4 linked regions of the Diceros bicornis minor genome follow. The protein of the gene in region 1 interacts with the protein of each later gene in a pairwise test. Links are inferred from orthologs where the notes say so. Each region holds a gene or a part of one and is shown in the gene's direction. Other genes may lie near its edges. The genes, in order: DISC1, MPPED1, XRN2 and DNAJC7.

The links.
Region 2: the proteins of DISC1 (region 1) and MPPED1 interact in a two-hybrid assay, tested with the Homo sapiens proteins (2 studies listed by BioGRID and IntAct). The link is inferred for Diceros bicornis minor from reciprocal best matches to the Homo sapiens genes DISC1 and MPPED1.
Region 3: the proteins of DISC1 (region 1) and XRN2 interact in binary tests that used the Homo sapiens proteins (3 or more experiments, as listed by UniProt). The link is inferred for Diceros bicornis minor from reciprocal best matches to the Homo sapiens genes DISC1 and XRN2.
Region 4: the proteins of DISC1 (region 1) and DNAJC7 interact in binary tests that used the Homo sapiens proteins (3 or more experiments, as listed by UniProt). The link is inferred for Diceros bicornis minor from reciprocal best matches to the Homo sapiens genes DISC1 and DNAJC7.

The regions. Positions count from the first base shown.
Region 1 is NC_080745.1:24,572,599-24,579,543, reverse strand, and holds the start of DISC1 (disrupted in schizophrenia 1 protein), read left to right. Parts: upstream 1-3,940; 5' UTR 3,941-3,996; coding exon 3,997-4,267; intron 4,268-6,945. UniProt on the Homo sapiens protein: Involved in the regulation of multiple aspects of embryonic and adult neurogenesis. Required for neural progenitor proliferation in the ventrical/subventrical zone during embryonic brain development and in the adult dentate gyrus of the hippocampus.
Region 2 is NC_080764.1:6,667,869-6,675,131, reverse strand, and holds the start of MPPED1 (metallophosphoesterase domain-containing protein 1), read left to right. Parts: upstream 1-4,263; 5' UTR 4,264-4,416; intron 4,417-7,263. UniProt on the Homo sapiens protein: May have metallophosphoesterase activity (in vitro).
Region 3 is NC_080758.1:47,785,148-47,792,916, forward strand, and holds the start of XRN2 (5'-3' exoribonuclease 2), read left to right. Parts: upstream 1-4,754; 5' UTR 4,755-4,796; coding exon 4,797-4,871; intron 4,872-5,314; exon of another isoform or gene 5,315-5,640; coding exon of another isoform or gene 5,641-5,709; intron 5,710-7,769. UniProt on the Homo sapiens protein: Possesses 5'->3' exoribonuclease activity. May promote the termination of transcription by RNA polymerase II.
Region 4 is NC_080757.1:41,231,830-41,238,734, reverse strand, and holds the start of DNAJC7 (dnaJ homolog subfamily C member 7), read left to right. Parts: upstream 1-3,883; 5' UTR 3,884-3,912; coding exon 3,913-3,989; intron 3,990-6,905. UniProt on the Homo sapiens protein: Acts as a co-chaperone regulating the molecular chaperones HSP70 and HSP90 in folding of steroid receptors, such as the glucocorticoid receptor and the progesterone receptor.

The DNA.
Region 1 (6,945 bases):
TACCCTGGGGAATGGTGCCATATTTTTGGTCTCTGCTGTTGCAAGATTGGACACTCAGCAGTGGCCATAGTCAGATTGGCCTTGGTGAGTGGAAGTCTATGTTGCTGAGCCCATGCATAACTTGCATCCCTGCCACCATGGCCACTTTGTTCATGAGCCCATTGGGCAATGTCAGGAGTGGCTGGGGCAAGAGATTGACTGGTATCCATAGAATGGGTTATCCTATCCACTTGATGATTAAAATCCTCCTCTGCTGAGGTCACCCTTTGGTGAACAATCACATGGGACACAAATATCTTCAAGTTTTTTGCCCGTTCAGAGAGGTCTCTCCACATACCTCTTCCTCAGATCTCCTTGCCACCAATTTTCCAATCATGTTCCTTTCAAATTCTTGACTATCCAGCCAAACCATTGGCCACAGTCCCCGAATTGTCATACACTTGTACCTCTGGCCATTTCTCCTTTCAAGCAAACTGAAAAACAAGGTTCGCTACTCAAAGTTCTGTCCACTGGGAGGATTTTCCTTCACTGCTGTCTTTCAGGAATGTCCCAGAAAGGAGCTGTAGTGCTATGGCTGTCTACTCTTGGATGGTGCCTGAACATTGTGCAGGAACATCTGTAAACTAGGCCTGAGTTTTCTCTTCCTCAGTCAACTGATCGTAGGGAACTCCCTATGAGGCCATAGCTGCAGGCTGGGAGAGAGAAGGTGATGTAGCAGGAGTGGGGACCATGGGCATTTGGGTCACTTCCTCATGTAACTTACTTGTGCCTTTAGGGTCTGCTCAGGCAGACCAGTCTCATATATACTACTTTCATTTGATGGAGCACTGCTATGTTCGCCCAACTTTGCGGCTTGTGGGTCAGACAACACCCAGTTCATGATGGACAGTTCAGGTTGCAGGGTAACCTGATGGCCCATGGATAAGAGCTCAGTCTCCACTAAGGCCCAGTAGTAACTCAACAGCTGTTTCTCAAAACGAGATTAGTTATCCACAGAGGATGGCAGGACTTTGCTCCAAAATCTTAAGAATCTGTGATGTGATTCAACTATAGGGGCCTGACAAAGCCTCCATCAGCATCTCTATCACCACTGACACTTCAGGTACCATTGGATTGGCCGGATCTTATGGCAGAGAAGTGGCAGAGAAGCTTGCATGGCAGCCTGGACCTGTTGCAGAGAGCCTTTTTTGTTCTGGGCCTACTCAAAACTAGCGACTTTTTAGGTCATTTGGTAAATGGGCTTGAGTAGCAAGCACACCCAAATGAGAAATATGTTGCTTCTAAAACCCAATGAGGACCATTAGGTGTTGAGCCTGTTTTTTGGGTTATAGAAAGGGCCAAATACAACTTATCCTTCACCTTAGAAGGGATGTCTCACACCACTGGACCTCTAGAAAATCCACTGATGGAAGGCCTCTGAATTTTTGTCAGATTTATTTTCCACTCTCTGACATGCAAGTGTCTCACCAATAAGCCTAGAGTAGTTACTACTTCATACTCACTAGGTCCAACCAGCATAACGTCACCAATGTAATGGACCAGTGTCAGAAAGGAAAGGCAATAAGGTCCCTGCTTGACTGAATTATGAGGTAGGGTTGATATATCCCTGAGGTAGGACAGTGAAGGTGTATTGCTGGTCTTGCCAGCTGAAAGAATGCTGCTTCTGGTGGTCTTTACTAACAGATATGAAGAAAAAACATTCACAGATCAACAGCTGCATACTAGGTACTAGGAGATGTGTTAATTGGCTCAAACAATGGAACTACATCCGGTGTAGCAGCTGCAGCTGGAATCACCATCTGGTTAAGTTTATGATAATCCACTGTCATTCTCCAAATCCATCTGTTTTCTGCACAGGCCACATGGACACGCTGAATGGGGAAGTGGTGGGTATCACCACCCCTGCATCTTTCAAGTCCTTGATGGTGGCATTAATCTTTTTTATCTGTCTTCGCATGCAGAATTGCTTTTGGTTAACTCTTTTCCTAGGTGGAGGCAGTTGTAGTGGCTTCCACTTGGCCTTTCCGACCATAATAGCCCTCACTTCACAGGTCAGAAAACCAATGTGGGGATTCTGCCAGTTGCTGAGTATGTCTATTCCAATTATGCATTCCAGAACTAGAGAAATAACCACAGGATGGGTGCAGGAACCCACTGTGAGAGGGAACTGAGCTAAAACTCTGTTGATCACTTGACCTCCATAAGCCCCTACTCTGCCTGGTAGACCATAGTGATGTTTTAGGTCTCCTGGAATTAGTGTCAGTTCAGAGCCGGTGTCCAGTAATTCCTGAAAAGTCTGATTATTTCCTTTTTCCAATGCACAGTCACCCTGGTAAGAGGCCATATGTCCCCTTGGGGAGGGCTAGAAGAAAGAGTAACAGTATACATTTTGGGCAGTGTTGTAGGGTCTTTCCTCCTTCATTCAAGAAGTTCTGGGTTGGTAAACTGCCTCAAGTCTGCCAGTTGATCGAAGGGCTGAGTCTCTCTGTTCTGGTAATTCAAGTTAGGCTTTTGTTCACTTGACCTAGAACTTTTCTGCTTATACAGATCAAATAAGAATTTAGTAGGCCTCCCATCTATTTCACTTCTAGGAACGCCATGATCAACTTGCCGACACCGACACTGTAGGTCTGTGGGAGTCAGACTATTCTGATTGTGCTTTGACTCTGTTGTCCATTACAGAAATCATGCCCACCTTGCCTTGGGTGATTCATTGCCACCATTTGACCCCTGTCAACTATAATCCAATTATCCCCGTTGCATTCAAGGATCCTAGTTCAGTGGCTGCAGTTCCCATTGTAATGTCTGACAGAGAGAAGAGTGACCAAGGATGCTGGGTCACAAGGTTATTTCTGAGTCACAGTGAAAGGTGTGTCCTCTGAACCCTCCTGGAGTGGAAAGCAGGTCTTACATGATAAATCCACTCTGATATTCCAATCCCCCTAAGCCTTTGGGTACTTCCTTAGCAGTATAGCAAGGCAGTTCTCGCATTTCCAGTGTAGGACAGCTCTTGGTCCATGTTTCAATCTAGAACCAAACTGTTAGAGCCTTTTCTAATCTCTCAAACTACAGCTTTGAATCCAGTTCTCTTAGTGGTATATATCATTAAACTCAGCCAGATCCAGCTTTATGCTCCTTCCATCTTCCACACATCCTTAATATCCATTCTCATATTCATTCTGTCCACAACACAACGACTTGGGAGTGCGTTTTCACTCCCAAGATTCTTATCTTTTGAAGGACCTTGGCCCTCCTCTAGTTCTAGTGACATCCTGCCCACTCCTCCAGAAGGTCTCCCTGACTCTTCACAAGACTCCCTCTTACCCTGGAACTTCTGCAACACTTTCCGTGCCAAGACTCTTGTGCCAAGACTCTGGCTCTTGGCATATCCTACCATATGTTGCTATTTAGTTTTATATGCATCTGTTTATCTTCCCGACTGGAGGCGAGCTCCTTAAGGGCAAGAACCATTTCTGGCAGGTGCTACCTAAGGGGGTGCTCCAGTAGCCTTCCTGAATGAGCCAAAGAGAAGAAGTGAAGGAGGTGAGTCAGTAGCCTAGGAGCTCCGCACGGATCACAGCTTGCGTCCAAGATGGGGAGGGGGCTCTGGGACCAGTCCAGTGCTGCCTGAAGATTCAAAAAGTTGGATTCACATTTCATTTTTGAACAACTGCTCCCATTCATCTCTTTCCCAGCGTCATCTGTCGTCTCCCCGCTTTCTCCTCACCCTTTCATCCCCTCCGTCTCCTCACCAACCCTTTGGTCACTTCCCTAATCACGCGTGTGGGAGGCGCCCTCGTAGACCCACCCCTGGTGGCCTCGCCGTCTCTCCTTCCCTGCGCTCCCGTTCGCCCCACCGCACTTCCCCTCTCATTTTCGCCCACAAATGAGCGAGAGTGAAAAGCGAACTTTCAGAGGTCTGGGAGACGGGCTGTGGGCCTGCCGGGCCGCCCGCCCCAGCCGCGTGCGTGCGTGTGTGTGAGTGTGTGTGTGTGTATGTGTGTGCATAAGGGGCCGAGGCTGGAAAGGAAACCGCTCGCCTCGCCGGGGAGAAGGAAGGAGCCTCCCTATTCCTCGCCGGCCCCCTCCCCACTTCCCGTCCGGCTCGGCGCCTCGCTTCCCCCTCCGCGGGCCTCGGGCGCACCGAGCCTGCTGACCGCCGACGAGCTGGAGGCGGCGGAAGCGGAGCGGGAGGAGCCGGCGGGGCGCATGCTGGGCGGGGGTCCCCAGGGCGCCCCGGCCGGTGGCGGCGGGGGCCACCGCGCAGGTAGGGTAGCTGTCACCGCAGGCGGGCGGGGCCGGGGGCATCCGGGCAGGGAGGGCGCGCTCTGCCCCCTGGAAATCGTGTGGGTCTGGGTGTGCCTCTGTTAACAGCTTGGGTTCTGTGCACCCTTTTCGAGGTGAGGGAAACTGAGGCAGGGCGCGTGGCGTGCGGGGTTGGGGGAGGAGTCCGGTCTGGGGCTGCCCGCCTGCGCCGAGCCGGGCCAGGTCTCTCCCCTCCGACTGTACTGAGATCCCGGCGAGCGGCAGTTTTCGAAACAGCGCTGGTAGGACCCGCCCCCGTGGCGGGTCTTGGTGGCCGAGGAAGGCGGCAAGGGCCTGCCTGGGGTTTGGGTCAGTCCCGGGACCCGGCGCCGCCGAGCCTCTCGTCGCTGTGCGCCCTCACCCGCTCACCTGTGGGACAGGGGACGCCCGGCTCGCCCTCGTCCCGAGACCCCGCTGAGAGACGGGTTCCACCCCGTCGGGGACCCGGAGAGAGGAGCTGGGGGTGGGATGAGGAATGTGGTGCTGGCACCTGCCCAAGGGGCTGCTCTGCAAACAATTTCGCCTCCCACTTCCGACTTGGCGACAGCAACGCCCACGGCCGGGCTAAGGAGAGACCGCTCCGTTTCCACTTCCCAGAACACGGGTCACGCTGTCAACTCTCAGTGTTGACACCGAAGCCATTAAGTTGATGGTTGCTTTTCAAGAGTGACAGGACGTGTCCTACCACCTTACTCTTAAAATACCTACAAAGGCATTTGAGACTTTCGGACGAGAATGCGGGTTGGAGTCAGGGAGTGCTGCCGTTGCGTCCTTGCTGGGCCACCAGAGGGCCGGGTAATTTTAGACACAACGCTTAGCATCTGGGAGCCTTGGTTTCCTCAAATGTAAGAGAGAGCACCCATTACCTCGCCTCCTTGTCTCACACGTGTTGTGCATGAAGGCATTTTGCCAACCGAACTGTCAGTTGGACAAATGCAATTTGGGTAGTACCAGAGAACTAAGAGTTGGAATTTGGAGATAGTCTGCCTGCATCTCAGTCTTGGACTTAGCCATGCCTCAGTTTCCCCATTTGTTAAATGGGGACAATGACAGTGCCCACCTCATAGGGTTGTTACGGGGTTTAAATGTGGCAGTGGCTGTGAAGCACTGAGCCCAGGGCCTGAGATGTGGAGTAAGCTCTAAATAACCTTAGTTGCTATTTTTACTAAGCAAAACCTAAATGATTTGGAGAGATGTGGAAATACCAGTTTGATTTGATTAAAGTATGAATAGCAGAGTATTTGAGAAGAAATTTAGTTTTATTCCATTCAGGTACGGCACATAAAGTCTTTTGGGGTTCAGCTGAGAACTGTGTCACTGAGCAAAAAGCGGTCTGGAGTGCTTTGACCCTGAGCCTCGGTTTCCTCATCTGTTTACACAAAAGATAAAAGAAAAGAAAAATGCGGACGGTAATTATGGCTTTTTGTACTGACAGAGCTGCCTGAGGATCAAATGAGGTAAAAAATCTGGAAGCACCTTGAAGAGTCTGAGTCACTGGCTAATATGAGACGTCACTGCTACCAGGAGGGAAGAATAACAGGGGCAATTTTTTGAGAGCTTACAATGTCAGGCCATCTGTTAGGAATTCTTCTGATGAAATCCGCCCCAAACCTTTGTGAGGTAGATATTTATAATCCTCATTTTCCCTGTACAAAGCTGATAATCAAGGTTACTCTGCTTTTGTCCCAAGGTCACATAGCTGTTAAGAGTAGAGCCAGGATTAAAATCCGGTGTGGGTGCCTCTCACAAGTGTGTTCTCAACCGCTGACCAAACTGAAGTTATGGAGATGAGCCATGGTTCAGAGTAGACCAATGTTAGATTACAGTTAATAATGTCTTGCATGTTTACAGACTCTAAAATATGAGTGAATTGTTAGCCCTGGCAGAAGAGACTTTGAAATAATCTTAATTTCTTTCATCTCTATTTTAAAATCCCATTTTAAATTATTTTCTTGCAAAAATAAACAATGAAAATTTGCAATAAAAAAGGTATTAAAATCTTGAAAGAACGTATTACAATAACTCATTGCAAATCTCAGACTAAATGGAATCGGAATTAATTTTATTTTAACGCTTAAATTTGCCAGAAACCTTAGAATGGCACAAGAGGTGTAACTGGGATTGAGGCTTTTGGTGTCATGGTTACCTTGCAGGGCTGGGACCCAGGACATTTCTGTAGGGACCTCACTGCTCACTGAGATGACCTCAGAGGGACGTGGACCTTCAGAGAAAGTCTGTGCACCTGAAGGGGGGTGAATGCCAGGTCTACAGGCTGCAGAAACAATTCCTAAGTCATTTGTTTCCTAAATGAAATTTCTCTTATTCTTTTTTCTTTTTCCAAAAGCAATGCGTGCTCATTACAGGAAGCACAGAAAACTATAAATAAGAAAAAGAACATAAAAAAACAACAGTGATCCTGAGCCACAGAAAGCAAGTGGCCAAAAGGAAGGGGAGTGGAGTGTCAATAGAGACAAATAGCTTGGTGTCTCTGCTCTTGTAATCCATTTCTGTGCTATGTCCATCAATTTATATCTGTTTCAAAAATGGGATGCAAACTATTATTGTTTTAAATGAAAAAAATAATATTTGCTTGTTGCTTGAACATTAAGACATTAATTTAGAAAAAAAGAAGCCAGAATT
Region 2 (7,263 bases), on another chromosome or scaffold:
TGCCCCCTCCGTCCCTCCCGATATTCTGGTGATCATAGAAAAGTTGGAGACGACAAGGTCCCATAAATTAAGTAAAAAATCACCCATTATCTCATCCCCAGGGTTGACATTTTGCTCTATATACTTCCTATCTTCTTGTTCTCCCTCTTCCTAATTCTCATTCATCAAGGCACAGAATCAGGTGCACTCCTGTGTAGCCTACTTCACTTGTTCATAGGATGTGTGACGAGCACGGATATCATTTTCCCGCCACATCACATTTCAGCAACATGATTTGGCTACTTGAAATTCCCTGGACATACCATAATTTTTTAAACCGATCCCCCCTGGCTGGGCATTTAGCTTGTTTCTGATTTGGGGCTATTATAGACAGCCTGCGGTTACTGCCTTGGGACACCTTCCTGGAAGGTGAATTTCTTGGCCAGGGGGTATCATACCATGTTCCTTTGAGACTCTGAGCCTTTGCACAGGCTGGCCCCTCTACTGGGGGGTCCCTCTCCCATTTATTCCCAGAGTGAAGTCTTACTCCTCCGCAACACACACATCACCTCCTTCTGAAGCGGTCCCAGGCTGCATCTGCTGCCCTTCTCCCCGCCCTCAGGTGCCCTCTTCTCCCTGGTGTCATGAGCATCTGCCGACCTCCTGTCTCTCTGTGGGCAGACAGCCTGCCTTCTCCTCTTTCTCTCCCCGGCCTCCAGCACATAGTAGGTGCCTGGGAATAGCATCCCAGCTGAACGAGCCCTCCCCTGCCTGGTTTCGCAGTGTGGGCCTATGTGGTGTTTCTGTTAGTCTTCATGAACAAGTGCCACTGTGTTATTAAATTTTTCCAAAAGCAGAATGTCTGCTGTGTTTGCCAGATTGGTTGCTCTTTTAGGAGTGGGTCTACGCTGCCCATCCCACACTCCTCATTCTCTGTCTTTCAGAACCCATTAGTTGGGCACCTACTGAGCCCCAGGTCCTGTGGGATGAGTCAGAGCCCCACCTCCAGGAAGCAGCCTGGTCCAGGGTAGGTGTGGGTCAAACTCAGAGCTCAGTGCCTGGGACTGGGTGGTACAGGCCCCTTTGGGGGGAGCTCATGATTTGCTCCAAAGGAAGTGCTCCAAAGAAGTGCTAGGCATATAGTAGGTGCTCAATAAATGCGTGTAACAAGAAGGTAAGAGATGGTGTTCTGGCAGCTGAGGGGAGGGCTGGTGGGGTTGGAGGTGGTGAGGAAGGTGGCCTGGAGGATGAGAATCACAGGAACTTCTGTGCTCTCTCCCCAGGGACCAGGAACACAGATTCTCCACTGTCTCAAACTGTGTATCCTTTGGGGTCTCCTGAGGCCATGGCCAAACTGTGGCTCTGACCTTGGCAGGCAGCAGGTGGAGTCTGTTGGGCTATTGAGCTCAAGTCCTGTCTCCCGGGCAGGCATGATGGTTTTCATCTCCCTCGGAGACATCGTGCTCAGGAAGCCTGGAGCCCTCAAGGGAGAAAGGTGCTCCCCGCTGAGTCTGGGACGCTCCTTCATGCTCCACAGAGGTGCGCAGCTCAGCTGGAGGAGCTGGGAGGCTCTGGTGCTAAGGGGAGTTTAGGTTAGTGATCTCATCCTTCATTCGCTCATTCATTCATTCACTCACTCACTCACTCACTCAACACTGGCCTTGTCCTGGGCGCTGGGACACAGGACACCATAGAGCATCTTGCTCACATGTCCTCAGAGGCTCCCATGGCCTGCTGAGCGTGGCACTCAAGGCCCCACGTGGCCTGCCTCATGGCATGTTCCAGTCCCTTAGGGGTCTGCACCCTCCTATCCTCCCTGCCCTTCTCCTCTTGGGCATCTGCACTTCCTATTATCAGGAACGCCTGTCAGTCTCATCTCCCCTGTCCACATTCTGACCTTTCTTCCAGGCCCAGCCCTCGTGCCCTCTTCCAGGAAGCCCTGCTCCGCCCCCAGGGTGGGCATCTCTCCCTTCCCCACCCCACACTCGGTCCAGGCTGGTCCCTGAGTATCTCTCCCCTTTAGTCTCTCACTGGCCAAGGCTGGATGGCAGGGGCTGCACCAGGTGCCCCCTGCCTCCCCAGCCACCCAGCACAGGCCTGGCACACACACGGTTCCTAGGATGACACAGGTGCCAAGTGGATGTTGCAGCCACCTGAGCAGTGCGGCTGACAGCGGATTCGGGCCACTGACCCGACTTCCTCCTGGGCAGCAGTCTGTGCCTTCACCTGGGCTTTCTTCCCTGAATTCCCAGGTCACTGCTCCCACGCTCCTCTCGTCTTGGCTTGGGAAGAGCTTCCTTGGGGCTCCGACCCTCACAGGGCAGGCAGACCCGAGCTGGGCATCTTGCAAAGGTCCGTGTGGCCCTGGTGGGCAGAGTGAGTAATCATGGGGGGGACGTGTCTGGCGGGGTGAGGGCACTGGGGAAGCTGCTTCCCAGGACTGGCCCTGGAGAGAGACGGTGTGGCAGCTCGCTGCTCCCGAGGAGAAGCACAGGGCCTGCCCAGGCTGTGCCCCCACTCAGGGCCTCACTTGTCCTTCCACTCGACCGGCTGAGGGTGTATTTCCAGCCTGGCCTCTTCTCTCGGCCCCAGAATCGCCCCAGCACAGGGTGACAGAAGTGAGGTCCACAGACAAGGAAGAGGAGGAGGGTGCCCATCTGAGGCTCCCTGGGTCAGCCTCTGCCCCCTATCCTGCCTGAGGGCCCCAGCCCAGGCCTCCATCATCTCCCTTGGCAGCGCCAGCGTCTCCCTGACAGCCCCTTCTCCTCCTCTGTCAGGGCTGCCTCAGCAAACTCTAAAAAGATAAATGCGACCAAGTCATGCCCCTGCTGAAAAACCTTCTATGGCTCCCCACCACCCCCAATAAAGTCTACTTAGGCAGGCAGCTAAGGCTCTTCCTGATCCAGCCCCTGTTCCCCGCCCCCCCCTTCTCCAGCCCCACTGAAGCTGCCATTCCAAACATGCCAAGGCCTTTGCATGCACTGTTCCCTCTGCCTGGAATGCCTTTTCCATACCTTCTCTCCTTAGCAGACACTTACTCAGTTGGGGTGTGTCCACCTCCACGAAGCCACCCTGAGGTAGCTATCCCCACTTCCCCTCCTGCACCTGTGAGGGGAATTTTTCTGTGTCCCTGTCTGCCTTTCTACCAGACTGGGCTCTCCCCAAGGGCATGCCAGGCCTGAGGTGCCCACACAGGGTGTCCTCAGGGACTGTGTCTGAAGCTGCGATGAATGCAGGAGTGGGTGGCATGTGTGACCTGAGTGTGGTGGGGGAAGGGGACTCAAACATTTGTGGAGGTGCCTTAGATGGGCCTCAGAGGAGCCACACCCCCTTCTCACCTCCCTCTCAGTCCGGGACTGGCCTGTGTCGTGACACCTCTCTCCACCGGTGGCAGGGGGACAGAGGTCACAAGGGGCCTCTCAAACTCCCCAGGGTGGGACCACCTTGGTTGGCGGTGTTGCTCTCCCCTCTCCCCAACAAGGCAGGGCCTTCTTCAGACCAAGGCCAGATTCTCAAGCCCTGATCTGCTTACCTGCCTCACTCCGGGTTAGGCCCCAGCCGGCCACCCAGTGCACCCAGGGACTGGGGACCTGGGACCCCCAGGGGAAAGGATGGGGGCACAGGAAGGGGACCCAGGCCTATTCAGCCTAGGAGCTGGGGTCTTCCCAAAAGGGGGGCGGAGGGGGTACTCTCAGACCCCCAGCGGGAGGGTTCCAGAGCAGGGTGCCCTCGCCGCCCGGGGAGGGGGTCCGGGCCGGGGGCGGGGGCCACGGCGCCCCGGAAGGAGCCGCGCGCTCCTGCACGCGGTGCCCGCTGCGGCGGCCGCGGATCCGGAGGTGAGAGCGCCCCCGCCCCGCTCCCCGCCCACCCCGCGCGCGGCCAGGCCTGGGGTTTTGGGGGCGGGCCGGCGCGGGGCGCGGGGCGCGGCGGGCCGGCCGCCTGCCCTTTTCCGCAGCGCGGGCCGCGCTCCTCCTGCCCCCGTCCGGGCCGCCTGCCCCGCTCCCCACCCCTGGGCGGCGGGATGCGGGCGCCGGGCCCGGGCGGGGGCCGAGGGCCGAGGCCTGGCCGGCCTGGCGGGGGCCCCGGCGGGTGGCCGCGCTGGGCCCGGGCCCGAGGGCGCGAGCGCGCCCCTCCCGGCGCCGGGGCGGGGGGAGGCGGGGTGGGAGGAGGGAGGGAGGAGGGCGGCGGCGGGAGGGGGAGCTGTTGAGGCTCGGAGCCGCGCGGCGGGCGGGCGAAGGAGGGGGCGCCGGGGAGCCCCCCGCCCCCCGAAGGAGGAGTCTGGCTCCCACTTGCTGCCTCGGACGCGCGGCGAGGCGGCCGCCGCCGGAGGAGCCCCCGCCCCTGCGCGCCTCCCTCCGCGGAGCCGGGCCCCTGCCTCCCTCCGTGCGCGCAGCTGCTCGCGGCCGCCGCGGCCGCCGAAGAGGAGCCCGGGGCCAGGTAGGGCCGGGGGCGGGCGGGGAGCTGGCCGGGGCGCGGCGGGCGCGGGGCGTGGGCGCCGGAATGGCCGGGGCGCGGCCGGGACCCTCTCCAGGCGCGGGGTGACGCCCGCGGCGCCGCGCAGGGGCGCCCGCAAAGTTACTTTGGCTGCCTTTGCCCGGTGCTTGCTCCCCGGCCGGGCACCCCCGCTGCCCTGCCCGCCGAGCGGGCGCCGCCGGGGACTCGGTCGGGCGCTGGACTCTGACTGGGGCCGAGGGGTCAACGAAACTTTTCCCCAGCTCGCCAGTCGCTGCTGGCTGCTGGCGGAGTAGGTGGTGGGAGAAGCGAACTGGTCGGGTGCGAGTGATGATGATGGTGATAACAATAGCAGCCCGTGGTCGTTGAGAGCCTACTGTGCGCAGCGGAGCCCTTCTGGTACTTGGAGGCAGGGGAGGGGGGGATTAATGCTGGTCTAGTGGCCACTTTTGCTAGGCATTGCTGGAAACTTCATCCATCCGTCCATCCATCTATCCACTCACTCATTCCACACATATTTATTACTGTCTGCTGTGTGCCGGGCGCAGGGGATTCCGTGACTAACCAGGCGGGTCCCAGCCCTCACAGGCGATATTTCATAGAATGCCCAGGTTAGGGAGCAGTCCCGTCTCCTGTGTGTTTATTCTGGGACTTGCTATAGGAGAGTGAATTCACGCACAGTCTCCCAGGCCCCGGGTGGAGACGGAGGAGGGTCAGTCTGAGAGCTCACATGTTGAGGAGTCTGCGGCGGGCCGAGGCTTGGGGTCCTACACCCACCCTCCTGCATCCCCTGCTATCTCCTCTCCACTTGGGCTGGGAGGCCCCACCCTGGAACTGGCCCCCAGGTCTGCCCGGCCACCTTTCTGGGATGTCTCTCCCCCAGTGCTGGATCCGAACCTTTCCCAGTTCTCCAGGAGCTTGGTTGCCTCCCCCTCCCCATTTCCAAGGCCCCTATTGAACAGCCCGGAGGAGAGCTTGTTAAGTGGCAAATAATTATGAAATTAAACCAGGGAACAAAAGTGGGCCCGCTGGTGAATGGTTGAGCTGGCTCGCAGGACTTCAATGGTGGTGCAGACTTGTTAGCAGGGATCAACCACGCTGGGGGGCTCAGGCAGACACCCCTACTGTCAATACCCTGACTGGTCTTTGCAAAAAAAATAAGAAAAAAAAAATTAAACCAACTTCGTGAATAATTTGTCTCCTCAGCTAAAATGCTTTGGGGGATGTCGGAGAGGCCACCAGCTGACTGCCACATCCAAGTTGGAAGCCAGGCCTTGGTCCATGGCACTGGGCGGCCATTTGGGAAGGGAGTGGTGGATTTGGCTGGGCTGAGGCAGGCTTCTGGCGGTAGGGAGCACACAGGGACTTTAGAGCCAGCCGGTGGTGATCGGGAGGCATTCTGGATCCGGGCACAGTGTATAGGGGACCACTGTGTGGGAGCCATGCATAATAAACCGTGCTTCACGATGCCAGCTCCCTGCAAATTGGCTTTCCGAGTGGCAGCCCTACAACACTTGTAAAATCTTTTTTTTCTCAAGATGGGTTTCTGCGAAATGGTTACATCTATTTGAGTGCTCACTCGGTGGAGGTACATTAATTGGCTGATGCCTAGTCAAAAGGCAATAATCCAGTGGCAGAGGTTTAATTGTGTATTCGGAAGGGGTTCAACTGCCTTCCTATTTGTTTCTCCGCCCCGGGAATTTCAGAAGACCTGGAGTGAAGTAGATCCCCGTACTGTCGATGTGGGTAGCCTGCCTGCACGATGCCGTGTCTCGGATGTAACTGCTGTGTGTGCACTTAGAATCCTGTACACACACCCCTGCCGATGCCCCGTGGGCTGTGTTTGTGGAAAGACAGAACAGGTCTAAGTTTAGGTAAAAAAACTGAGGCTTTGAGGTCTTTCTGCCCAAACTGTGTCAGTAATGCATAGACCAACATGTAGAATAACCATTCAAGAAAAGCCTGCTTTTTAGAAATTTCCCAATCCACCCGTGAGAGTATTAAATTTTCATCCAATGAAAGTAATTTAAGTTCATTTGTTTTCCTTGAACTTGCTGCATTCCCCTGCAGGCAGCGATGGCCCCTCGTGTACTCACCTAATCCAGGACACATCTCTCTGTACTTGTCTGAGGAATTAAGGATGGTAGCAGGATTTCCCTGAAGGGTAGCACTCAAGGAGAAAAATCAGCATTCTGGGTGCGGGTTCCGGATGAGTGGAAAACAGAAAACCCTCCCAAAGTGCAATCATCTTTTAATCTATCAAAATGATTTCATTTTTTCAATTTCAGGCCTGTGAACTGATTGTGAATAGCAGGGCAGAGGAAATGAATTGGCCAGGCAAAGACTTTTAACAAGTAAATATCATGCACAGAAAAACATGCAATTAGTGGAGGTTAGTTAATGCCTTTCAAGTTACGGCGAGCTGCTGTTGAGGGTGGAATTTCTGCGTTATCCCTGAAGTGTCTGTCAAAATCTTTAATGTGACAATGTGACATGTCTCTCCCATCGCCCCTCCCTCACCGGGAACAGAAAAAGGGTCTTTTAAAGCGTCCCCCCCTCTCCATTCTTCTTCTCCCTGAGATCTCTCCATTCTGTGGTTGGTACCTTTGTCTGCCCGCACCTCTGGAGTGAGGGACCCTAGGGGAAGGGGCTCCCCAGATGCAGGGGCCTGGGCTGGGTTCTGAGGCTCACTCTGTACCAACAGATCACAGTTAATGGCATCTCAGATGAGAGAGAGGCTGCTTGAGAGATCTTCCTTCTGGCCAAATGTCTCGCCCTCTAGGGTCAGATGTGCCAAACACTTGGGGGGCAGTGAGGAGAGGGGGTGAAGGG
Region 3 (7,769 bases), on another chromosome or scaffold:
CCATTGACTTTATTTATTAATTTTTTTTGTGAGGAAGATCAGCCCTGAGCTAACATCCATGCTAATCCTCCTCTTTTTGCTGAGGAAGACCGGCTCTGAGCTAACATCTATTGCCAATCCTCCTCCTTTTTTTTTCCCCCAAAGCCCCAGTAGATAGCTGTATGTCATAGTCACACATTCTTCTAGTTGTAGCCACATACATAGCTGTATGTGGGACGCTGCCTCAGTATGGCTGGACAAGCAGTGCATTGGTGCGTGCCCGGGATCCGAACCTGGGCCGCCAATAGCAGAGCGTGTGCACTTAACCGCTAAGCCATGGGGCCGGCCCTCCATTGACTTTAATCACAGGGCATGGTAATACTAAGAGATTCCCCAAGAGATCTCCTATATTCCAGACATACCCTTCCTTACCTCCTTTGTGGAGTAGCAGTCCAATTTCCTCTTGGTAGTCAAGGTCAATCACCCCAGCCAACACAGTAACTCCCTCTCTGCCTGTTGAACTTAAAATGGCCAGGTGCCAGTCTTAACTTTCAGTTCAGTGGAATCATTACCATGTCTCCTGGTGGAAGCATTCCTTCCTTTGGAACTAAGACCTCTAGGTTCGCAGAGTATAAGGTTACAGGAACAGGAAGCAAAAATTTTGCCACTGGGTCACTATGGGTAATAGTGAGTGGTGCCACTCCTATTTCTACCCCTTGATACCTGGACCTGTGAATCTTGGCTATGGGAGAAATAGTACCATATATGGAATGCTGCTTTAGAGCATATACAGCCTCCTGGAGTACCTTGTCCCATCCCTGCAAGGCATTGCCCCCTAACTGACAGTATAACTGAGGCTTCACCAGGCCATTCCACTGTTCTACCTACCAGCTGCTTCAGGATGGTAGGGAAAACAGCAAGACTAGTGAATTTCATGAGCATGGACCCATTGCTGTTCTTCATTGCTATGAAGAGAGTTCTTTCATCAGAAGCAATGCTTTTTGGAATACCATAATGGTGGATAAGGCATTCTAGTCCACGGGTGGCAGTTTTGGCAGAAGCATTGTGGGAAGGGAAGGCAAATTTGTATCCAGCATGTGTCTGTTCCAATAAGAACAAATGCTGCCCCTTTCATGATGGAAGTGGTCCAAGACTAATCAGAATTAAGGGTCTCAATGCCCCCAGCTCCATCAGTATTCCCACATGTCCTTATTCCAACTTTTAGGATTCCATCCATTCCTTCCCAAACACTGCCCTCACTTTATCAGTAGACATCAGTGAGGCTGGGAATTCAATTTGTTTTGTAATTCACTCCCAGGATAAAGTTCTGAGATAGTAGATAGGGTTCTGAGTTTGGTTTTCAGCCATCTCAGCCCTGTGGCTACAGGGGATAAGGGTTTCTTTCAGGGCAGACATAGATTCTTTTAAGTCATTTATGTGGTGCTTGAGCTGGGAAATTGAATCTCTGAGTTCATCCTTTTCTCTCCCCACTTTGTCCACCAACGTTAGGAGCAACCAGCCAATCCCACTATATTTGTTAGTTTGACAAAAATGCTTGAAGTATCATATACATGGTCACCCAGATTCTTGCTTTTTATAAGTGGTTGATTAGGAATATCCAGTGGTGATATTTTGCCTATCTCTATTGCCAGATCACACCATGTACTATCAGTGCTCTCTTTATTACTGGAAATAGTCCCCAGTGTCTTTAAATCTAATCAGATTAGAGAGTCAATTCCAGAAGCCCCAGAACCAAATCAGAAAATGCATTCTTAAGATTCTATTCCTCTCAAACCATTCCTGGTACCAAAATCTGTATTAGTCAGGGTTCTCCAGAGAAAGAGAACCAATAGGATGTATGTGTGTGTATACATATATATATATATAAAGAGATTTATTATAAGAAATTGGCTCACCCAATTAGGGAGACTGTCAAGTCCAAATCTGCAGTGTGAGCTAGATAACCCAGGAGAGCTGATGGTGTAGTTCCAGTCCAAAGGCTGGCAGCCTGGAGTCCCAGGAAAGCAGATGGTGCAGATGAATTCTGAAGGCAGTCTGCTGGAGAATTCCCTTTTGCTTAGGGAGGCTGGTCTTTTTGTTCTGTTCAGGCCTTCAATGGACTGGATAAGGCCCATGCACATTATGGAGGACAATCTGCTTTACTCTACCAATTAGAATGTTAATCTCATAGGAAAACACCCTTGCAAAAACACCCAGAATAAAATTTGACCAAATATTGGGGCATTCTGTGGCCCTGTCAAGTTGACACATAAAATTAACTATCACAACTATTATTTTAAATACATCAGGTTATTCACAATGAATTTTGTAAAGATAATGAGGCAAAGGAAGCACTTGATAATCCAGATAGCAATAGTTTTTTCAAAATTTTTTAAAGATTCATTTCTATAATTACAATGTTAACAAGGCTTTAAAATGAATTTATGAATGTTCACATTCTGGTTTCTATATAGTCTACACGTTAATGTAATCTAGATGTCAGCTGGGAGGCCTCCCCTGCTCCCTTGAGGTCTAGGCAAAAATGATTCAAAACCTCCTGGTTCCTATCCTACAGAAGTTCAAAGCCTGGTTCAATATTCCTGCTAATTTCCAATGCTTACAAATTCTCACCTCTTCTGCTTCTTGAGCTCTGCTATGCTGCCCAGCCCTGTGACTGTACACCACAGTGACCCCGACATGAGACTCATACTCTTTTTCAAATTCGACAACACAAACCCCACAGTGAGCCTGAGTCTGGTAGACTTTATTAGAAACACTGGGCTGGGGAAGGTATCTCACAATACTTAGTCCATATCCTCCTGCCATCTTTCAGGTTCCCTCTCTTCTCTACTTCCACTTTCACCCTCCCCTTTTCTCAGTGCCCAAAATTCCAATTTTTGTACCTCCTTTATGCAAAGCAATTCTAGCACCCAGGTGAATTAGCTGTGTACTCCTCAAATTTTGTTACTGGTTTGTTTGGATTCTTTCCTTTGCAAGGGATGGGAACTTAGCCCAAACTAGCTTGGGACAAAAGGAGAATTTACTGGCTCATAGAATTAAAGAATAGGTTTACCAACCAAGCTGCAGGAAGAGGGATTTAGCTGTACTCAAAAACCACTGGAACCAGGGACTTAAATCTGCTTCTCTCATTGTGGACTGGCAGCAAGTCCCATTCTCTTTCAGCTTTCAGCTATCTGGGAGGGACTGCCTTACCTTCCTATGGTTCTCAGTTCAAAAATGCTGGGCAAGGACTCTCAATGGCCCAATTTGCCCAGCTGTTCAATCACGTACCTTGTGTGTGGTCTTACAAGAACACAGCACCTCCTAGGGGAACCAAATACTTGATGAGTAGGGCCTGTTTCCAGAAGAAATGAGGGACTTCACAATAGACATAATACTCTGGAATAGTTCTGGCTGTCCTTAAGTAAAATATGGGCTAACCATTTCTCTTAATTTCCACACCAGCAGTTTAAACAGTTTAAAGAAGTTTAAAGTGGCATCAGACCACAGAGGAAGGGGCAGTAAATATTTGCACACCAGGTAGCACGGAGAAATACTTTCATAGAGGCCTCTTGAGGTGAGCCTTTAGGACTGAGCGTGATTTGTCAAGCCAAGAGGGGATTCCATGGAGAAACACTTCCAGGCTTGAACAAATGGACATAAATATCTCTTCTTCCAGATCTCTTTGTATATGCTTAAAAAAAGGATTTGAAGCCATCAGAAAATAAAGAATAAAAGCATCCTGTTACTGTAAGGACAGCATTAAACGATCTTTACTTGGACTGAAACACAGCAGTATGAATAAGCAAGCATAATTTCATTTATTTATTTTTTCCCCCCAAAGCCCCAGTAGATAGTTGTATGTCATAGCTGCACATCCTTCTAGTTGCTGTATGTGGGACGCGGCCTCAGCACGGCTGGAGAAGCGGCGCGTCGGTGGGCGTCGGGGATCCGAACCGAGGCCGCCAGTCGCGGAGCGCACGCGCTTAACCGCTAAGCCACGGGGCCGGCCCGATAAGCAAGTAACTTAACCCCTTTACAGCTTGGCTTTCTCATCTGTTACATGAAGATGATAATATGTTAACACTCTCAGAAGGTTCACGTGACAATTAAATGAGATAATCCCTTAGCCAAAGCTTTAGTACGTGGTAAGCACTCAAATGCTGGAGAGTGATACCAGCAATTATTTTATACTCATAAATGTAGCTGGAAGGTTGAATTAGATGCTAAATGCCGGCTAGATCCCCTTTTATAACTAAAGGGAGTTACGCAAACCAGCCATCATTCGTGTAAAATACCTAAAAATATTCCTTTTCATAGTCCAAGTACGTACTGTGGCACAAAACCGGGAGAAACCAGGCCATAGAAATAATGAGTGTGTTTAGACGCTTTGATTCTACTCTGAATTGAGATGGGTGAGAAAAAGGAGGTGATCAAACCGGCAAGGAAGACCTCCCCGGGCGCCTGCGGAGCACGGGGATCCCGCCCCAGTGGAACCCGAGGGCTGGGGAAGCAAGACGCCGGCGCATCCCGGGATTCCCCGCGACTCACATGAGGTCGACCTCGGGCTTCAGGGCTGGCACCACTGAAAGCTAACGCCGCAAGCGAGGCCAGCCGCAGCCCCCACCACCCGGTCAGCCGCAGAACCCCGAATCCCACAACCAGCCCGGCCCCGAGCCTCCTTCCCGGCTTCCCCGGCGGCGGCGCCGTGACATCACTTCCCGGACGGCGCGCACGTGGGAGGAAGTCCCGGTGCCGCGGCTGCCGCTCCCGCCTGTCTCTGGTTACGTTCGTTCGTCCGGGGCCGCGCCGCCGCTATGGGAGTCCCGGCTTTCTTTCGCTGGCTCAGCCGCAAGTACCCGTCCATCATTGTCAACTGCGTGGAAGAGAAGGTGAGGCGGTGCCTGGCGGCAAGCCCGGAGCCCCAGCGCGTCTGGGCCGCGGCCCTCGGGACCCGCCGGCCGTCCCCGGGGTGCCGTCCGGGGCCCGCGCTGCTCTGTGGGCCCCGCGGGCGCCCGCGGCCCGACACGCGGTTGGTCGCCGACACTCGTTTCCGGGGCCCTGGGAGAGCAGCCTCGGCGGGGCGAGGGCCGAGCGGGGTCTGTGCTCGCTGGAGGGCTGCTCCTCCCCTGCCCGCTTTTTCCGGCCCGGAAGGCCCCGCCCACGGCTTTGTTTCCTCTCGGCACAGCGCATTTTGGGTTTCAGAACAGGCTCGAAGGTGTTGGGCTGCACACGCCTGGTCCGCTGAGTTACCTGGGTAGCGAGGCGCACATGTTGATTCCAGCCTCTTACAACCTTGTAAAGTAACCCCCCGCGGCGAGCTTTCTGTTGTTTACTGCCCGTGCTCGAAAGGTTTTCTCCTGGTGCGAAAGGACTTTTGTTGCTGTTTTAGATCCTACGGTGAAAGCAGCATCTTAGAAACGTCTAGGACGAGATAGAAGTCTCATAAGTGCCCCCTTCTCTAGGTGCCCCGACTGCTGGACAGAATGCTTGTTGAAATTTTCAGAATTCCTGGATGCACTTAAATACTTGTTGTTTGTTTGTTAATGTATATGTAGACTTCTGGCCATTATTGAGTTTTCTCTTTATCGTTCCCGTGATCCCGTCCGAGTTCGATTTTGTGCTTAGAATTTCCGGATTGGGAAGGTTCAGCGGCGCTTCATGCCCCTCGCCCCTTCGTTTTTGAAGGAAGTGCCCGTCAGTCACAGTGAACTGCATTCTTTTGCTGAGGTTGGTGAGATCTTGATTTTTACTTAGCTTCTATCCAGGAGGAACCGAAAGCCTTGTTTTGACGGCAGTTTCAGTATTCCTTGTGTTTTTCCCAAAGAGAAGCTGTTAAACTGAATGCTGGTTTCCTTTGTTTTTAAAACTTCCATCAAACTTTACTTGCATCTCATCCCGTTTCTACTCTGTAGAGATAACCATTTTTAACTGTTTTGGTTCTGTCTCTAGATATCATGATTATGCCTGATTTATTGGTTTTGGATCTATCTGTTGAATTCTAGCTATGATAGAAGAGGATTTCGTCACTTATGCGGCTCCCCCGCCCCATTCCTAATAGTAAATCGCTGTCTTTATTTCATCTCTTGGTAAGCTTTATAACTTTGAGTAATGTGTCTTTTTTATTACATCTTCTATTTAAAGTATCCCTTGACTTCTCACTTTCTAAGGTTAGGTATTAGCTTTTCTATAAGTTTTCTACCTCTGCTGCTCTTACTCTTCACGCCAAGCTTGCCAGCTGTACTTTTGCTTTGTTGGCATCCCAAACTAAATTGTCACGGCTTTGGCTATATATAGGATTGTTTTAAAAGCTGAAAAATCAAATAGTATTGTAAATTATTGTCACTTTCCAGATTCAAGTTATGCTGTGATACTGTTTCTTTTCTTGTGCTACTTTTGTCTTTTTCTTGGTGTTATCTTTCTGTTTTCCTCTTTATACGGTTCCACATCCAAACTCGCTGTTTTATTAGGTGTTCTATCAAGTCCTCTTCTTGGAGACTCCTTCTTGAGGTCTTTATTTCTGTTGTTGTCACACCTGGTTCTTTAGGCTTGCTGGAAAGCTGCTTCCTGAGATTTTTAAAAATTCCTTTCTTCAGTTGAGGGTACTATTTTCTGATCATCTTTCTTGGCCTAAATCCTTCCTTGGTTTTTATTCTCAATTGAATTCTTAAGAAATGCTGTGCAGGGTGTGAGTTTTCTGATTCTGTTCTACCCTTGTACACATGAGTGATCATTAGCTAGGCATCAAGTTTGAGTTTGCAAATTAGTTTCCCTCAAATCTTTGAAAGTGCTGTTCTTTTGACTTATGTCATCCAGTATTTTTGATGAGTTTTTTTTTGTGAGGAAGATCGGCCCTGAGCTAACATCTGCCAATCCTCCCCTTTTTGCTAAGGAAGACTGGCCCTGGGCTAACATCCGTGCCAATCTTCCTCCACTTTATATGGGACGTTGCCACAGCATGGCTTGCCAGGCGGTGCGTCGGTGCCCGCCCGGGATCCAAACCGGCGAACCCTGGGCCGCCGCAGCGGAGTGCGCGCACTTAACTGGTTGCACCACCAGGCCAGCCCTTTGATGAGAAGTTGAATGTTAATGTGATTTATTTATTTAACCGATACTTATGTAGTATTTAACACATACCAGGCACTGTTCTAGGCACTTTATAGATTAATTTATTAAATTCTCATAACAACCACATGACTACTACTACTTACTATTATTATTATTACAGATGAGAAAACTGAAGCACAGAGGGGTTAAGTAATGTACTCAGGGTCACTTGGCTAATACACGGCAGAGCCATTGTCAAAATCAGGAAGGCCATGCTCTTAATTTCTGTGTTCTGCTTTCATTCTTTTGTAGTTGATCTATTTTTCTTTCTGAATCTTTTCAAGATCTTTATCCTTGGTAGTGTAAGTGTTCATGATTATGTACTTAGGTATAGATTTTTTTAAAATTTAAGTTTATTTTGATTGGTGCTTGGCTGACTCTGAGGCTGAAGACGTGTGTTCTTCAGTTCTAGGGAATGCTCCTTGATTGTTTCCTGACCTCCTTTTTCACTGCCCTCTCTGAACTCTGGATCCTGGTCCTCCTAGACTGATGTATTTTTCTTTTGTCTCTCTGTTCTCCCCCTCCTCTCCTCCTCCTCTTGCAGCTTTATTGAGGTATTATTGACCTACAACAAACTGCACATATTTAAAGTGTACAGTTTAATACATTTTGAGATATGTGCACATCCATGAAACCATCACCATAATCAAGATAATGAGCGTCACCTCTAAAACATTCCTTCT
Region 4 (6,905 bases), on another chromosome or scaffold:
GGGATCAAAACAAAGGGCAGACCTCCTATAATTGAGAGCCCAAGTTCTGAACTGAATGCATAGCCTTAGGGATTCAGCACTGACCCCTACTCTAGTCAGGGTGTATTGAAGTGATGTGTCTGTGTCCACTACCAGACAGGCAGCTGTACGTTACTGATCTTTGTTATTCCCAGTATCTGGCCAGGAACTGGCAGAGAGCAAGTGCTCAGTATATGTTGCCATAAAGAGAGTAGAGGGTCGCTGGTTTAAAGGAACCACTGGTCATGTTCTTCTCTGTGCACAGGATGTGGAGGACCAGTTGCTGAAGGGAGCTCTGGCTCAGCTTCCTCTCTTTAACCACCACCCCACAGAAAAATAAGCAGGAATACTATTTTGTGTGGATCTGTCTTAAGCCACTCTTCCTGGGGAAAATGAGCAAATAAGGAGGATATTCTGCTTTCCTGTATGACTTATCTAGGCGACAATCAATGACCTCTAATTCCCAGTCAAGTCCATGGCTAAGATGAAGAACATCAGACAAGAAAGACAGGAGTGAAGAAATCTAAGGGAAAAAGGCTTCGAAAAGGAGACAATTTTTTGTCTCCTCCTTACCCTCCTAAGGGTAAGTCTACCCTTAGACTGACAGACCCAGATGAGAAGCCTCAGACACAGAAATTCCTTCTCCGAAGAGGCCCCAGAGACTTCCTCGAAAGCATCCTAAACACAGGCTTCCCAGAAGAAGCCCCAGAGTCCCCCAGGGAGCAGAAATACAGAGATCACACTCAAAAGGGGTCTCAAACAGAAACCTCTCCAGCGGAAACTCCTGAGTCGGACCCTCCTCCCCACTCCCCCCCGAGGAGCCCCATGTATGTAGTGAGCCCCGGAATAAGGGATACCCATGAGAAAGCCAGAGGGGCCTCCGCCAGATTCCCCACGATGGGACCCCCAGAGGGAGTCAGAGGCCGCAGAAACTTGCCACCTAAAGCGGCCAGACACGGTAGCTGACCCTGGCCTGCCAGCTCCGTACCTCCCGGGGCCCTCGCAGCACCCCGGCCGGGCCCCTCGAGGAACGCAGGGACCGCAGGCAAGGCAGCACGGCCGCAAGGCCTCCGTTCTTCCGGGTCGAGCCAGGCTCTGCGGGCCCCGCCCCCTAGCTTTCGTCCGGCAAGACGAATTCCGGCGGCGGAGAGCGGGCACGGCCCTCACAGCGCCCCCAGACGCCGGCGGGGGAAAGGACGGCCAGGACCTGGGCTGGTTGAGCGCATATGATTCCAGCTCCCCGGACGCGGGCTGTTGGTCCGGTGGGTCTGATGACCAAATGTTCTTTCCCTAAAGGCTACCATAGTTCAGTAACACTTCATTTATTCAATCGTTTATTCATCAGATGTCTTCTGAGCACCTACTCTGTGTCAGGTACAGGACCAAGAGCTGAGAAAAAGCAGACGAATTATACACTGTAGCTGCCCATGAGAATGTCACCGTCTAGAGAAGCCAGACATCTAAACCAACAATTACAGTACAGTATGGCAAGAACTATCACAGAGGAGCTATGGGAGCACAGCAAAGGGGCATTTAACTTGGAGGCAGTGGGCATCATGGAGAGCTTCCTGGAGTAGGTCATGTCTGTGTTGAGGTTTAAAGGGCTTGGGAGGAAAGGGTGGAGAAAGCATGGCAAGAGTCATGGCATTTTCTGGAACTACAAGTACTTGAGTTCAATACTAATGGTAGAAAGGAGCCAAATAATCTTGGGTGGTAGGCCAAAAAGCTCAAACTGTATCCTAACAGCAGTGGAAAGCCATTGATAGGTTTTATGCTAGTGAAGTGATACGATCAATTTTTGCTGTTAAGAAGGTCATTTTGGCAGAAGACTGAAGATTGGAGAGAAATGAGACTGGGGGCCAGTTAGGAGATTTTGGTAGTATTCCAAGTTTTTAAAAAATGACGGGAACCTGAAATGGGATGGAAAGGTGATAGATTTGGGAGACATTTGGTAGGAGAATCAACAAGACTTGGTGGTAAGTTAGGAGTCAGGAGTGAGACGGAGGAGTTCATGATGTTTCCCATCTTTCTCACTTGGTGACCAGGTGAATGGTGACCCGTTCAACAAGATAGGGAATTCAGGAAAAGAGAATCAAGTACAGCATTTGTTTTTCAGTTGTTGAGGGGTGGGGAGAGAATGACAAATTCAATTTAAATATGTTAAGCTTGGGGCCGGCCAAGTGGTGGTTAAGTTCACGAGCTCCGCTTTGGCAGCCCAGAGTTTGCGGGTTCAGATCCCGGGCATGGACCTATGCACCGCTTATCAAGCCATGCTGTGGCAGGTGTCCCACATATAAATAGACGGAGATAGCACAGCTCTTAGCTCAGGGCCACTCTTCCTCAAGAAAAAGAGGAGGATTGGCAACAGATGTTAGCTCAGGGCTAATCTTCCTCACCAAAAAATAAAAAAATATGTTAAGCCTTGAGGATTTGTGAAACATCCAAGAGATATCCGGTAGATAGTTGAATATACAAATCTGGAACTCAGAAGAGAGGTCTAGGTTGGAGATATCAACAGAGCTGAGAGTCAACGACAGATCAAGTTAAAGCTGTGAGAGTAGATGAGTTGGCATAGATGCAGGGAACACAAAGTGGGAAGATGGTGCAAGACTGCCTCCCGCATGAGGCTGTGGACTGGGAGCCATTGGCAGGCAGGGCAGGTGGTCTGTGAGTCTGTGCCCTCCCAATTAAAGCAGGGAGAGTGGGCACTTTGGGAGGGCTATTGAATGATTAGCTGGATGGATGACCTCTCTTCCAACCCACTGAGCCTCTCCCATCCTCCCCTACTCAGGCATGGGTGTGGATTCCCCTCCCTTAGCACTGTGATAGGCAGTGACCATACAAGTAGCCTATGGACAAGGGCACACACTATTTTACTGGAGGAACAGAGTAGATCCTTTTTAAGTGCCCACGCCCCCTTCTTATTTTAGTTTTCCTTAGCTTAAAAATTTTAACCTCAAATTCCCCCAATTTAACCTCAGAAAACCCCAATTTAATTCAGGTCCACAAATATTGCTTTGGGTGAGGGAAGTACTACAAAAACGATTAGGCAGCGTCCTTGCCCTCTGAGTTCCCAATCCAGACTGCATTCGGCAAGACAAGCGCGCTGAGCAGCGAGTTTATCTGAGGGGTGGGGGTACGGGGGACACTGGGGCAGGGAGCTCACCCCGGGAGCTGCCTCATAAACTCCAGGGCAGGGTCTGGGGCTTGCCACCCTCCCTAGCCTTAATGCTGAGATGGCACTCCTAGCCGGCTGACACGAAAGCAGCCTCGTAAAAGGGTCAGCGTCATTAGAGTCATGAACCAGTTGACGCTTGCAGATCCGGAGGGGATGAAAGGCGCGGGGTGAAGACGCCCTGCGTTTCCCTGGCTTGGTTGGGCAGGGCTTCCAGGGGCCGATGAACGCTGGGGAACCGGGCTCAAAGTGTCTCTTCTTGCCTTTCCCAGGAGGAAGCTGTGGACACACTCCAAGGTCGGGAAGGTAGTCGAGGGTGCTCGTTCCCTCCAGAGTCCTGGGTCACTGGGTTCCCACCCAGCTCAGGCTTTCCGGAGCGTTACAGGAGACTCTCTAGGATTGGAGGTTGCTATGGCAACGAGGCTCTTGAAATACTGAGGGAAGCCAAAACCTAGAGAGGCTAGACCCTCCTATTCCGACCCACGGGTACAGTGGCGCCCCCTACGCACAGGAATCGTGCCTGGGCCCCCGCCCCGGGGCGGAGACCACCGTGGACCTCCGGGGGCGGAAGGCCGCTCTGGCCCCAAGTAGAGCCTCTCGCTGGTAGACGGGCTCGAGGGAGCCCCTCTGGGCGCAGCGCCGCCGAGCTGCTCGATGCTCCGACCGGAAGTGCTCTTCACCGCCTGCCTCCCACTCGGCTCTCTGGTCCCGGCGGTAAGATGGCGGCTGCCGCTGGGTGCGATGTGGTAATGGCGGCGACCGAGCCAGAGCTGCTCTACGACGAAGACGCGAAGAGGTAACCGGGTGACAGGGTAGTGGAAGGGACGAGCTTCTGCTCCGTGGCTCCGGGAAACCCGTCCCTGCCATGATGCAGCCCCTAGTTGTGAAGGCGATGCCCCGCCCTCCGCGCCCCCCCCATTTGAGATCGAGTCCGGATGGACCCCCTGAAGGGGCGCTCTCGGAGGTCGGCCCTCCTTCCCGCTTCCGCCTGGCCGGGGAGTTGAGGCACAGCTGTGTTCTCTAGCAGAGAAGAAGGTCGTCCTGACTGTAAAAGCCAGGTCCCTGAGGAGCTCTCAGAGGTCTGTGGCGGGGTGGGGGAGGCGGCGCGGCGACAATGACGACTGCCTTACATCGCCCCTGACCCCCGCCTTCTCTTGTTAACTTCTGTGCATTGTTGTCTGTCAGCATTTTGCATCACCAAAGCCTGTGCTGTCCTCACCCCCTTTTTTCCGTATTTATACCCCAGCGAGTCCTAGTCTGGGTCCGAGGTGATTGTATGTCTCCATTATTGACCTTGTCCTCCCTCCGCCCCCCGGTTACCCCAGAAGTCGGAGGTGATAGAGAAAGAAGGAAGAGTGAGGGGCTTGTTTCATGTCTACACGTCAAACTCCTTTTCCTCCATCCTCCTTCCTAAGATCTTCATTCTTCCAGGACTGTTCTTTCTTAAGCAGGAAGGAGGAGGGCAGCTCCTTGGGCGCTGTTGGCACTGCTGGGCAGCGGCAGTGGCTCGAGTTTGCCAGTCCGGACTAGCCAGGGGAGCTGCTGAGTGAGTGGTTTTCGAGAACGCTCTGGATTCTGGCTACAGCTAAGGCAGGTTGTTGGAAGTGGGGTTGGAACACAGTTGTGGGTAGTCATACTTGACATAATCCTGAAGCAGAATTAACGAAAAGGTTCTGGAAATTTGGAGCCCTTTCTTTATCAACTGCAGATTAGTTGACTACAGTTCCCTCAGTCTCCTTCCCACATATTTCGTATCATTATAGCAAGCTCATTATGGCTTCAGTCTGGGTGATTTGAGGTGGCGATGTAAATTAGTTCATGAGAACTGAAATCAGGATTCTGAGATCTTTTACTGTCCAAGTTAGAAACGTAAGAGGTACTCAGTGAGGCAGAATGAATGGTTATCCAGCTTAAGGGTAGTTACTGCAGCCAGTGTTCCAAGTTCCTGACCTGTTGGGAGCTGAGAGGCTTGACAACATGTAGTAGTAGGTCCCTGGGATGTCAGAGAAGTCAGGATGTCAGAGTCTAGTCTCTCTGTGTTTTTAGTATTGAGTTTTCACATTGTTCCTAGTTCTTTACAGGTATTTAGAATTAAGCATCCTCAGCATCGTTAAGGAACTGCAAAATAAACAAAGAGTTCAACACAGTTTAAATTAATTGTAAGGATCTACTTTGGGAAGAGTTTAGTCGTTCTTTGTGCTATAAATAGAGACTTGGGCTATATGTAATTAAAAAAAACTCATCGTAATCATTGTAAATCTCTGATGTAGGACTGTCTCTAATTTCAGTTTCATTTCAAAGCCTCCTATCTAAAGTAAGTCTTTTTCCTTAAAAAAAAAAAATTACAGCCTTAGAGGGTATTCTATCATAAAACTGTAGTAAATGAGCCTAAAGATAGATTAAAACACGTAAAACAGGTGATGTTGTAATGTGAGCGTGTTATACAAAAACATATGGTATTTGGTAGCAGTTTAACAAAATAGGAGAGGGCCGGCCCTGTGGCTTAGCGGTTAAGTGCGCGCGCTCTGCTGCTGGCGGCCCCGGGCCCGGATCCCGGGCGCGCACCGACGCACCGCTTCTCCGGCCATGCTTGAGGCTGCGTCCCACATACAGCAACTAGAATGGATGTGCAGCTATGACATACAACTACCTACTGGGGCTTTAGGGGGAAAAAATAAATAAAATCTTAACAAAATAGGAGAGGATGTTGACTTATGTTTTTTTTTTTGTGAGGAAGATCAGCCCTGAGCTAACATCCATGCTAATCCTCCTCTTTTTGCTGAGGAAGACTGGCCCGGAGCTAACATCTATTGCCAATCTTCCTCCTTTTTTTTTTCCCCAAAGCCCCAGTAGATAGTTGTATGTCATAGTTGCACATCCTCCTAGTTGCTGTATGTAGGACATGGCCTCAGCATGGCCGGAGAAGCCGTGCGTCGGTGCGCGCCCGGGATCCGAACCCGGGCCGCCAGTAGCGGAGTGGGCGCACTTAACCGCTAAGCCACGGGGCTGGCCCTTGACTTATGTTAACTGCCTTATTTCATAGAATTTAAGATGTCATTGTAAAATGCACAATTTTTAATCTACCACTAAGAAAAAATAATTAAATTTAACTGAAAAAATGCTTTCTTACCAAATAGACTTACATGTTATACATATTTATACGGATATCTTTTAGACATAATAAAACAGATGTTTATTATATACCACTTAGGTGTGAGCAAATCAAAAGGAAAATATAGTGAAATAAAAAAAATCAGTTTGACTTTCTGCCATATAAGGCATCCTTAGGAGGGTAAACATTGAGATCCATTATTAAGAAAAAGCTTTGTTTACCTATGGATTTCCAGTGCTGAAAGTGGAGTGGGGATTTAGAAGATTTGGAGGAAGGTTGTTTTACATTTTACACATATCCTGGAATCCTCCTGTGTAGGCATAGCAAAGGGCAGGGATAGGAACTCCTTTACAAGTGCCCTTTAGTATCTGGCTTGGTTAGTCATTTGACCAAGTTTCTGTCTCTCATTACAGTCCGACTACCAGTTCATCTGGGGACACGGAAGTTGATGGGTCTCTTGGGTTGTTTTTGTGAAGTCCAGCCTGGAGTCCTTCCTTCCTTGTGTCTTGGCTCAAGGACATCCTGCTGCTGCTGCTAAATTTTTACTGTCCCACAGGAGGCAAAATGAGAGAAGCTTGCAAGACCCTGGACCTCGTGGTT